3 linked regions of the Oryctolagus cuniculus genome follow. The protein of the gene in region 2 purifies or fractionates together with the protein of the main gene of each other region. This does not show direct contact. Links are inferred from orthologs where the notes say so. Each region holds a gene or a part of one and is shown on either strand. Other genes may lie near its edges. The genes, in order: DCUN1D3, CAND1 and CUL2.

The links.
Region 1: the proteins of CAND1 (region 2) and DCUN1D3 purify together in Homo sapiens (affinity purification with western blotting; 3 studies listed by BioGRID, with this or other methods). This does not show direct contact. The link is inferred for Oryctolagus cuniculus from reciprocal best matches to the Homo sapiens genes CAND1 and DCUN1D3.
Region 3: the proteins of CAND1 (region 2) and CUL2 purify together in Homo sapiens (affinity purification with western blotting; 7 studies listed by BioGRID and IntAct, with this or other methods). This does not show direct contact. The link is inferred for Oryctolagus cuniculus from reciprocal best matches to the Homo sapiens genes CAND1 and CUL2.

What each region holds. Positions count from the first base shown.
Region 1 is NC_091450.1:18,308,817-18,313,078, reverse strand, and holds the start of DCUN1D3 (DCN1-like protein 3), read right to left. Parts: upstream 2,807-4,262; coding exon 2,376-2,806; exon of another isoform or gene 1,968-2,375; coding exon of another isoform or gene 1,958-1,967; exon of another isoform or gene 1,190-1,957; coding exon 706-1,189; 3' UTR 1-705. UniProt on the Homo sapiens protein: Contributes to the neddylation of all cullins by transferring NEDD8 from N-terminally acetylated NEDD8-conjugating E2s enzyme to different cullin C-terminal domain-RBX complexes and may play a role in the cell cycle progression by regulating the SCF ubiquitin E3 ligase complex, after UV damage.
Region 2 is NC_091442.1:69,618,227-69,622,479, reverse strand, and holds the start of CAND1 (cullin-associated NEDD8-dissociated protein 1), read right to left. Parts: upstream 2,810-4,253; 5' UTR 2,478-2,809; coding exon 2,410-2,477; intron 1-2,409. UniProt on the Homo sapiens protein: Key assembly factor of SCF (SKP1-CUL1-F-box protein) E3 ubiquitin ligase complexes that promotes the exchange of the substrate-recognition F-box subunit in SCF complexes, thereby playing a key role in the cellular repertoire of SCF complexes.
Region 3 is NC_091444.1:107,487,812-107,491,321, reverse strand, and holds part of CUL2 (cullin-2), read right to left. Parts: intron 1,529-3,510; coding exon 1,366-1,528; intron 1-1,365.

The sequences.
Region 1 (4,262 bases), on a different chromosome or scaffold from region 2:
CATGAAATGCAGTAGGTCAAAGAAGGAATGAGCAAGAAGTGAGGGAAATAAGGGTTTTGGATAAATTAGCTTAAAAGGGAAGTTATCACCAGACTACACAAACGCTCTTGACTGGCCTCAGCTCCCCAAGAGCTCTAAACTTGTCTGGAAATTAATGCAATGTGGTTAACAGTTAACACTGCTACTCAAAATCTGTGTAAATCTTTAAAAATAATTATTACAACCTAAATTCAACCATGTAAACAGCACTACACACAGTACAGACCTGCCCTGAAAAACAGTATGCAAAACTGAGATCTGGCACTGTATCATTTTGTAATGTTAATTCAACCGAACAGTCCCATTCCCCCCACCCGGCTCTATACTGGCCCCCACCAAAAAAAAAAAAAAAAATCATCCAATTTGTGCAAGAAATGGCAGACTTATTCTATCTGAAGGCTTCAAAAAAAGATACACAACATGTAGCCAGGTTCAAATATTTTGGGGGATTACCCCCCCCAAAAAAAAGAAATAACCAAAATAACCAAAAAATGAAGAAAGTGCCTAAAACATGATACAGCATTTTAGAGCCCTTTCAGATACAAGGCAGAGAAAGGTGTAAAGTAGAAAATATCCGGATCTTCAGTAATTTCCAGAAAGGTCCAATTCCTTGGTTGGCTGCAGGACAGCAGGCAGCTCTTTGCTGCTGCTCCTGGGACAGAGCCACTAAGTCTGCTCCTCGGGACACAAGCCCTCGGGCCCTGAGCTGAGTGCACCTCTCCCTTCCCCTTCTCTTTTCCTTCGCTCCATTTCCCACTCCACAAAGGTATCAAAGAGACTTGGCCAGGCCTCATCTTCACTGTAGTTGCTGAGGTCGGGGCCAATCACCTGAGTGAAGTTAAGGAACATGTTCCAAGTGTCCCGGGAGATGCCCTTGATCCCCGAGGGGTTCTCTGTTAGGAAGTTTAGCCACTGGTCCAATACTGGAGGGTTGTTTTGAGTGAAGACTAGTTTCCACAGGGCAATGGCTATTTCCCGATGCAGTGACCGCTGCCCTTCTTCAGAGTCCAGGCCAAACTGAAATGTAAACCGGTAGAGATCCTTGAATTTATCCTCCTGTTTGGCTTCTGTTAAGAGGCTAGGGAACCGCGCACAGATCCCGTCAATGCTGTCTGCACTTATTGCCTTGCAGCCATCGAAAAACTCCTTCCTGCAACAGAAAGAAGGCACAAATTAGTTATAACCGATATTATTTACCGAGGGCAACAGAGTATAGTAATCAAGAGTATGGCATTGAGGCAGGATGGCCTGGATCAAATGCCAGCTCCTGCACTAAGTAGTCCTCCTTCCTCATCTGCCAAGTGGTGAGTAAATGTTACACCTCACCTTGCAGGGTTCTGGTGAGGGGTAAACACGTTAGCACGAGTACCGAGTGTTTCCAACACTGCCAAGCACACGGCAGGCAGCTAGTCCCCTGCCTCCTGCTGGGTCTGCTGCCCTGCACTGGTGATGAGGTTGCAGCCTCTTTCTCCTCGATGGAGAAGCCTTCCTGCCTCCCTTTCGATTCTCTCTGGGTTGTTTTGGTATCTTTCTGGTGACAGCCAAGAGACACTTCTGGAGCCCGAGAGGCAGGATAAAATTTAAGTCTGCCACCAGAGATAAAAACTGTGCTATTAAATAACAAAACTTGCGTACACATATTTAACATCTTTGTAACACTTCCAGCTGACAGCACGGTTTCCTCTCTGGGACTGCTGTACCCACCAAGATTAGGGAGTCCAGGTCTGGAGGGTAAGCTACCTGGGGGCATATAGACTAGAAATGGCTTGGCCAGGTCTCATAACCTGCGCTCAGCAAACCACCCCTTGGGGTGACCCTGTCACGTCTTCACCCACAAGCAACTTCTACAGGGATATAAGACCACAACGACATGAAACTGCTGCTTGATAACTGGGCCACCTGTCCTTGTTTCATACAGGTCTGGCTGAGGGCAATACGGTAAGGATGAGAAGGGACAACTGGGCTCACGGAGTGGCAGAGGCACATCCCTGGAGGTTCTCACTGTACTGGCACACACAGCACCTGCCACAGGACGGACAGTGAATTCTCAAGTACCTCAAGATTCCTATTGAGTGGGTCTGCTACAGAGTCAGGCACTTACTTTTTTAAACCCTCAGAGGAGTCTTGGGAGGGAGGTGGCAGGGGGAGGCCTTCTCTGGATCAGGAACACAACTTAGCTCAAAACATCTGCTTTTGAGAAACTGGTCAGAGCACAAGGATTTTCCCTTCCCCAAACCCCATGCAGCTGACCCAGTTATCCTAGCTGAGCACTCCTGCACAACATTGCTCCGTTTCCTCCTCTGCTCACCTGGTAACATGAAGTATTTGTAACTAACCTGGTGAATTTGCACATGGTAGCAGCCTGGAACTTCCAAGCCAAGAGCAGCACTCGAAATTCCGTGGGGTCGACACATAGGTCATTGCAAAAGCGTTCCATGCCTTCTTCCAAAATTGCATCCTCCCGCTCGTCCTTGTAGCGCCTGAACAGTTCTTCCAACCTCTGCAAGGAAGACTCTTCAGCATTGGACTTGGACTCCCTCCCAGCATCTCCCGAGGACGTTGGCAACTGGCAGACCTCAGTGGCAGCCTCCGCCTTCTTGGTCCCATTGACGAGGATATCCCCACCTGGCTTGCCACAAGGTGGCACCTGTTCCTCACGGTGGCCTGCACTTCGCCTGCTGTGTGATTTGCTGCTGGAGTCCCGGTCTCCATTCTTGCTGCCCAAGGTTGATGAGGGATTCTTGCACTTGGTGACACACTGGCCCATGGTGCTGGCGGCCTGGCCTCTAAAGTGGCCCCCTCTGGAATGGATGCCCTCGCTGCCGCTGGCCCATGTACTTCAACATGCCATCAGCCAGAGGAACCAGCCAACCTGGGAGGAAATTGGAAAGCAGTCACCTCTTGAACACAGAACACAGGGCATGGGCGGGGGCACCACCCTCTGGGGACTGCTTCCTGGGGATCACTGCGTTTCAATGAGCCAACAAGGAATGAAGGGAGATCACCTCCCTGATAAGCCAGCTCTGTAACTTGCCTTGGAAAAGCAGTGGCTATGGCACATATGGAAAACCAATATGGGAAATTCCTAAAATTCTTAAGGTAACAGGTTACAAAGAAGCTGATTCATGTGCAGAACACATCAAAGACCACAGTTCTGCCAAATATTCCAGAGGAAATCTGTCTTGCCAATTCATCATCATGCAAAAAATTTATGTGGACCTGGATTAAGCCAGAGGGTACAAATATAAGGTTTATTTTCTAGTTTTTAACACCGTCACACTCAGATTTTCTTTTTCCATACATGGGATTAATAGAGGGAGGGAGTGGCCATACCCAAAACAACTATAGGGTCTCACAATAGCTTAACAATGAGGTAAGGGATTTGCAGTGTCAGGCCTGCGAACAAGGGCAGAACCAAACATCAAAGTAAAGTTCATCCCTGATCTCTCCAGATCCCTTTCTGGGCCTATCCCACATAGCAGGTGTAAGGCCCTTTCTTTGCTCAGCTACGGAAGCCATTCACCATCCCTGTACTCCAAGCAAAGTCTCCTAACCTAGGAGCTTTTTTTTTTTTTATTCCCTCCCTTTTATGTCTTTAGTGAGGCTGTACAGAATGCATGCCAAGTTCTCATTAAACATGACAGTCCTAGCAGGCTTCTAATGGGGTATGTGTCTCTGCTCTAAAGGACTGATTTGTCTAAATACGATCTTCTAAAAATGGTAGGATATGGGGGCAGGAATTGTGATGCAAAAGGATAAGCCACTGCTTGGGATGCTCACATGCCGTCCTGGAGTCCTAGCTACTCAGTTTCTGACCCAGCCTCCTGCTCCTGCATCTTGGGAGGCAGCAGATGATGGCCCCAGTGCTTGGGGCCCTGCCACCCCCATCGGAAAGGGACCTAAAGGGAATGTAATTTCTCTGAGACTACCCTGTCTATCCAGGGCTCCTTTTTTTCTTACGTGTTTATTTTTATCTACTTAAATGGCAACAGAGACAGAGACACAGAGATCTTTCTTGTGCTGGTTCACTCCCCAAATGCCCACAACAACTATGCTGGGCCAGGCCAAAGCCAGGAACCTAGAAGTCCATCCAGGTCTCTCCATGGGTGGAAAGAGCCCAAGCACTTAAGCCTCCCAGGCACTTAGGCTGCCTCCCAGGATGCATTAGGAGGAAGCTGGATCAGAAGCAGAGATCCTAGGACTCAGAACTGGCACTCTGCCCT
Region 2 (4,253 bases):
TCATCATCATCTGTGCTATTTATACCAAAATAAAGAAATTTCTAACAAGAAGTTAAAAAAGAACAACTGTATCAAGATAAACACCCATACTGAAATTAGGCAGAAAAATCTTCAAAACTGTTTACTTTAAATGCTCACTACTTCAATTAATCTTTAAATCTGTAACTTAATACAAAAAATTCCTCAGCTTCCAAAGATTTGCCTGTGAACTGAAGCACATTACAAAACAGTTTTTACAACATAGTTCATTAAAAACACCTCGGGGATGTCAAATTGCTGGAAGTTGCTTACTATTCCTCAACAAAGCTTCTACAACATTCACCAACTATTATATATTAATATTACACTACCTAGTCAAGCTATGTTCTGGTTCATTCCAACCCAAATCAGTAGAAAATTCTTAGTAAATTCAGCAATAACTACAGAGTAGCATCACACATTGTTACTTCCTTCACATAGTTTAAAACAAAATAAAACCAAACCCCAGGGACATACACCCTACACAAAGGTTTTCAAAAAGTTCATAGAAAATGCATATTATGAAAAAACTATGCATGGATTAAAAAAAAGTTTTTTGCAGCAGAATAAACTTGTCTTTTAATTCCATTTTCCACAACTCTTAAAAGTACCTTGATACTATGTTTCCTTTGCAAGAAATTGAAAAGAGCTGGCTTCAGTCAACAGACATCTATCTGTACAGTATCACCACATGACATGACTTCTAAGTATTTCTAAATATATTACCCACATAGGATTCTGTAAAGTTAAAACTGCACAACAGGGAAAGTGCTACCTTTAGACTGAAATGAAAAACAATAAGAATAGATCAGTTCTTCTACAGAATAAGACAAACTGACAGAAGCAGGAAGAGACACAGCACAGATTTTCCATGGCTGAAAGTTACATCCAAGTCTCACTCAAGCATTTCCATTTCAGTAACTGGAATTGGGAGCAAGCAAAGTTCCAAAGGAAATCAAACAGCATCCTCATTCTTAAAACATAAAACTTTTATTTTCCACCCAATAATCTTGATTTTGCCCTTCCAACTACACACATCTCAAATTCCAAACTACCCAAAACAAGCACCTCACTTCCAAAAAGTAACAACGCCAAAATCTTTCAGGTTAACAAACTGGTTTTAAGTTTCAGACACAACACTTACACTCCCTAGGTAGCAAAACTTTTCCAAAAGCATGTGGTTTTGAAGCCACAGAACCAAAACTGCACTTCAGTGACCATTTTAATATGACAAACACCATCAATCTAAGTAGGATCACAATTATTGCTTTTTCCATGGCTCTCCTTTCCCAAGTTAGAACATTTCTTGCCGGCTGAGTTTGGACCCATTTTCCTGTTAAAACGTCCTGTTCAGACAACACGTACAAACTGGCTATAACTTAGTTGAAGATTACTTGCTCGTTCTTTTTAAATGCACATAAATGACACGTGTAAAACTGAAGGTGCAGAAATAAAAAAGCATGTTTGTGAGAGACAGAGCATATGTATTTATTTGTAAAGGAATGCAACAATCAATGCAGTGTGCGAGGAGGGGAAAAAAAAAAGGCCCACAGATAATCAACTTGTGAAAACACAGCATGTCTTCAACATGCATGTGACAAGAATCTGGAAGCAACAGCACAAGCCTCCTGAAACAGACTGCTGTATAAAGCTTCGCATTCCCCAGCCCCGTGTCAGAGAACTCCTTCCAGGAAGGTCCGGCTCGTTCGGACTCTGGATGTAGGCATATGAGGCTGAAACCCCGAGACCCTGCGTGGGTTTCACCTGACGACGGAAACTGACAAGAGATGCTGGCGGGAAAACCCTCCTGGCCAAGTCTCTGCCTTCAGGCTCCCCTCCCCCACTTCTCCGCTCCGACACCGAAAAGAATGCAAAGAAAAAAAGTACAGAACTCAGTCAGCGAAGGGCTCGACCAAAGCGAATCGCTGCGCCGACCCCAGCCTGCGGGAGCCAGGGAGGCGGCCGCGGGGGCCCCCGTGAGCGGGGCGGCCTAAAGCCTCGGCAAGGCCGGCGCGCGGGCCCGGCCGCAGAGCAACTCCCCTTCCACACAATGGTGGGTGCTCTCGCCCCTCGGCGCTACCTGGGAGCCGAGGATGGCGTCCGTAGGGTCAGGGCCTGCGGCGGGGGCGCTTAGAGGCCAGGAAGGAAGGGGCCTAGGGATGGCTGTGGCAACGGCCTCGAGGCAAGAAGGGGGGAGGGGGCTGGAAGCGGGGCGAGGAAAAGGTGGGGGGGGTCCCGGGATCAGGGAGCCAGCCGAGCGGCGGGCTGGCGGCCGCGGTGAAGCGAGGAAGCCGGCGAAGGCCCAAGGGGTGGGGCAGGGCCTTGCGTGAGGGCCAGGGCCGCGGACGGGGGGCCCCCCGAGGTGGGGTGAGGGTCAGATTGCGGCCTCACCTAAAGTCCTTGTCGCTGGATGTCATTTTTTCCAGCAAGTTGGAAATGTGGTACGAGGCGCTCGCCATGTTGACGGCCCCGATCCCGCCCGCCGGCGCCGCTGGTGCTGCTGCCCGCTGCCGCCGCCGCCGCCGCCGCCGCCGCTCGGGCTCCTCCTCCCGCTCGCGGCGGCTCCCGCTTCCAGGGTCGCAGCGCGACGCCGACGCTGACTAGGGAGGCGCCTCGGCAGGCTGCCTCCGCGGCGAGGGTGGGCCCGTCCCGGGGGAAGCAGAGGCTGCGGGGCTGGGCTAACGACCGCGCTGCTGGCGGGAGAGCGGACTCATGGGCGGCACGGCGCACAGCAGGGCTTCTCCCGGGACCCAGACACTTCCACTCGGGCCGTCTAGCTCCCACTCCCTCCGCACTCGATCGCTAGGGCAGGAGGCCAAAACCCGCCTCCTTCGCTCCGGGGGCGGGGCGACAGGCGGAGGACGCTACGGAAAGCCGAAGTCAGAGTTCACGGAGGCCTCCCCGCGCACGCTTGAGACGCTTGTTAAAGGGCAATTCTGTTGGCTAAGGCCGATGTCAGTCTTCTCGTGGACCGCCTCCCAGGAGGCATGACAACGACTGAAGGGGGCTATTCTCGCGAGATTTCAGGGTGACGGTTAAAGGACGAGGGACGGAAGCTACAAACGGGCCTTAATCTGAAAATACTTGATTTTCTTATCTGTATGACATTAAGATAAAAAGTTCACTAATTTAAAGGCGTGTAGTGCCTGGAGATTATGGTGATTAAGGGGACAGCCTGGAGACCATAAAGAATTCTAAGAGGGAGTTTTCGTTTTGAATCGGACGCGTGGCCTGTTGCCTTTAACCACCAGACTGAAGCTGCCACGTGAAAACCACAAGTCCCAGAATTCAACGTGCGCTACGCTGAGTCGGGATGTGATTGGCTGCAGGAACTTGTAGCGTTCTCATTGGCTCCTGTGGGAGGAGTGAATGCTGGGATTTGCAGGCTGGCGCGGGAGGCGTGCTGGGGACGACCTTTCAATCACCGCTCCGTTTCCGCCTCGGGTTCGTACTGTGAACACACGCTCTTCGTTGGCGACGTTTGCCGAGCTAGGCGGCTGCGGTTCGGACAGGCGCATTGCGGTCCGGTTGGTGTCCCTGGCAGAGACCCAGTGGCGGCCTCTTGCACGAATCCTTGCCTCTGTAGAGGCATTTGGGCCTCCCGACTTCGCTGGTTAACGCACTCCTTCCGGGAGTGCAGAGCGCGCTCTCTAATGGCGGCCCAATTTTAGTAAAAGACCAGTGGGCCTGCGCGTTCTGTCCGAAATAGCTAAAGGACCATCTTCTGTACGTCAGCTTTCGTGACTTGATCTTTCAGCTGAGTATTTCGTCGCTGCCTCAGACGTACAAGCACAACCATCGGAGATGAGCTATCCGAGCCATTGTATACCATCCAAGTGTTTCATCTGCCTCATATTAGGAGTTTTCCAGATAATATTTGCCAGCTAGGGGTCCACACGTAAAAATCTGAGTTTGAGGTGGTGGGTGATTTAGCTGGCAGGCCTTTTAAAAAAGAGGAAAAATTAACCTTGGTCAGAGATTTTGTTTAAAGACAACAACAGACCTTTAGAAAGGGCATCCTACTTCCAAAACATCAAATCCGGTTTGGCATTTCTTTACCGTTCTTTCCCACTTTCACCAAATGCTACTGAGTCTTCTAGGTCAGACTCAGGTACGGATAATAGCAGTTAATAAAACAGATGAAGCGTGATTTGCCCTCACAATACGTATCCAAAGTGCCCGTCGCTGCTCTGGTCTGCCTTCGTGTATGCTTTTGTATAATATACACAACATTT
Region 3 (3,510 bases), on a different chromosome or scaffold from region 2:
AGACAGAGAGAGCTCCCACCCACTGGACCACACCCCCCAGATGCCCACAATGGTCCCCAGGCAGGACTGAGGCCGGCAGCCAGGGACCTCATCCAGGTCTCCCACACAGATGGCAGGCACCGAAACACTTGGGCCATCTGTCCCCACGGCAGGAAGCCGGAGCCAGGGGCCAGAGCCAGGTATAGATAGAACCTACACTCCAATACAGGATGCAGGTGTCTCAGCCTCTGGGCCAAATGCGCACCCCCCACTATCTTAACTACTGCGGTTTTCCCATCATGCTCTTCAAGACCATCCTGGCTTATCAATGCTGCTAAAAATCACGGGGGTTTAGCACCTGGCTCCTGGCTTCGGATCGGCACAGCTCCGGACGTTGTGGCCATTTGGGAGTGAACCAACAGACAGAAGACCTCTCTCTCTGTTTCTCCCTCTCACTGTCTCACTCTCAAATAAATAAATAAAATCTTACAAGGAAAAGTCACAGGGTTTTGATTGGATTGCCCTGCATGCATAAGTCGATGTGGCTTTTTAACAGTATTCACTTTTCTATAAAGGTAAGCATGTCTTGTTAGGTTTATTTGTGCTGCCTGGTAATTCTTCAAACCATTTTTTCTTTATCTGAGAGACTGCATTTTTCCACTGTTCACTCTAAGTTTCTCAGTGTATTTTAATGTTCTATTTCCTGTATTTTGAGTCAGATTGAATACTGTTCTATATTGTCTATTTCTATTTCCTTTTCACAGACTTTGCCTTTACTCCTATTGTTTATATAAGTAATTCTGAACATATTAAGGAAATTAGTCCTTGTGACATTTAAAATTATAGACACTTTCCTCGTTTTTTTTTTTTTCTAACTTTAGGATTCATATTGAAAACAAAATATTTCAGAATAATCTTTCAAAATACACTATTAATAATTTATTTAAAAAGTAAATCAAACATTTTAAAATCTATTATTAACAAATGCTTTCAATCTATGGTGGCTAGAAGATGATATAAAACTGAGTTTAAAATACTTATTTACTTTCATTTTATTTGAAAAGCAGAGAGACAAAGACAGATCTTCTGTCCACTGGTTCACTCCCGAATGCCCACACAGCCAGGGCTGTCCCAGTCCAAAGCCAGAGGCCAGGAGCTCCATCCGGTCTCCAATGGGGTGCAGGGGCCCAAGCACTGGAGCTACCACTGCTGCCTCCCAGGGCTCACATCAGCAGGGAGCTGGTCAGGAGCAGAGTCGTGGGGACTGCACTAGCACTCGGATGCGGGATGTGGGTGTCCCACGAGGCCACCTGCCTGCTGTCCGCACCCCACCCGTGAGGTGGGCTTACGCCTCACTTTCTGTTGCGGGTCTCTGATGGGACTCACCGTTCTTCTTCTCTTGCCGAATGATGTTATGACATTCCGCATGCAGGAACTGCAAGTGGTCTGCTACCATCCGCTGCTGACATTCATGGATCACTTTGATATAGGAGCTTGGATGTAAGTATTTTCGACACCGAATTTCTTCATCTTTTAATCTACCTAGAACCTGTGGAAATATTTTTATGGTCATGGACTACTAAGTTTTACTATGAACAGAAATTTGTAATGGCACCAAGGCCATCAGGCAGCCAACTTCTAATGGGCCACTGAGACCCAGCACGGGTTACGACCAGGCTTCTGTAACCAGCCCAGACCCATGTTCTAGACACCACTTCACATTCTCCTTCAAGCTGCTGGCTGTCACCTACATTCCATCACAGTCATGAACAAGGACCAGCCTTTAGAAGCCTGCATTGCAGCAGGAAGAACCAGAACAAGCAGTCCCCACCGTGTGACTACTCACCAAACTAAGAGGGACAGCTCACACTGCACCACGGGCGCCAACCCAACAACCTGACCTGGCGCTCCCTCCTTGTCAAGTGGGAACACACAGTGTGTGCACGACGGAAATGCTCACTGCAGACTGATCAGAGTGTGGTATCCCAGAAGAATGCACAAGTATTACAAGTCAATAAAAAATTAAACCCATGTGCATGCTAGTTAACCATCACATTAAAGCTCTCCAGAAAATTAGCAAAGTCAAAATATATTTAGTAATAATCAAACATGTCAATCAAAACCTTTATTAAATCTTAGCCTATATAAAAGCTCTGAGCTACACACAATGGACTGGTTAACACTAAGAACTCATTCCTACTTCAAAACAAAACTACAACAAGGCTCAATGAAACGTGCCCGTACAGCTTGGAATCACTGTACTGCATGAAGCTATGTAGCTGAGTTTCTTTAATTTGAGAAACAGAAAAAGATGGAAACAGACAGAGAAGTCCTATTCTATCCGCTGGCTTACTCCTCAAATGCATCACAAGTCAGGGTTGGGCCAGGAACTCCATCCAGGTCTCCATGTGGGTGGCAGGGACCCCAGGTCTTGAGCCATCACCTGCGGCCTCCCAGGGCACACACTGGCCGGAAGCTGGAACCAGGAGCACAGCCAAGAACAGACCCCAGGCACTCCAACAGAGGACACGACATCCAGCATCCCTGTAACCCGTGCACCATGGGACTGCCCCTGGAGTCCCTGAGCCTGCCTGGCCAGGGAGCAGCGTGCATGTGACCATCTGGAGGACACCCGAGCCTGCCCTGGCACGAGAAGCTCATGTTGGGAGGGGACAGACTCCTGCACACCTTGTCGGTGATCTGGCACAGACCCAGCGTCCTTCCTGCCGTGCCCCCTGTGAAGCCAGGAGCTTGGGCCAAAGTCACAGAAGCAAGGGTAGTGGGTAAGAAGGGCTCTCAGCTAAAAAGGTGCTCACCACACCACTCATCAACCGGGAGTCTTTTCAGCCAGCGAGCTTTTGGCCAAAATAAAATAGAAACAACCCTTAAAGGGCTACACGTATCAGTCATTGACAGCACAGTGCGAGTGACTTTACTGTGCTTGTTAAACTACCTGCAGGTGGCATGTGGGGCTGAGGGGGGAGGGAGGATGACTGGGGGAGAATCAGAAGTCTGCTAACTTGGGGGAAGTTGCGCATCTCCAGAGCTGGCCTCAGGCAGCCTCAGGCCCACTGGAGGCCAGGGAAAGGCCAAAACCAGAGGAGACCCAGAAAGCAGCAGGAAGGCTGCGCTCTCAGGTCAGCCTACCCACTTCCAAGTGCGGAGGGCAGGTTCTAGGACTTTGGCGCGTGAAGCTAGTATCTCCTAAAATCAACTACAATCAATGCTATTTAATGACTCAGGACACCATTTATATCCTACCCATGAAGTGTCCAGTTCTACAGCTGCTAAACTTTGGTACAACACAGATCGCAGGATCTGCCCCGTAACCTTCTAATTCACCACCTTCACAACGCGGGTAAGCACGCGACGGTCTTTTTCAAACCACTGTCATCACCCAGATACAAACTGCAACCAGCGACAGTCAGCCAACACCACCTCCTCCTGTGACACTGCCCACTCCCGAGGCTTCCTGCCAGCAGAGCCACACAGCAGCTGATGTCCTGTGTGCAGCTCCCCAACCTGGTCCCT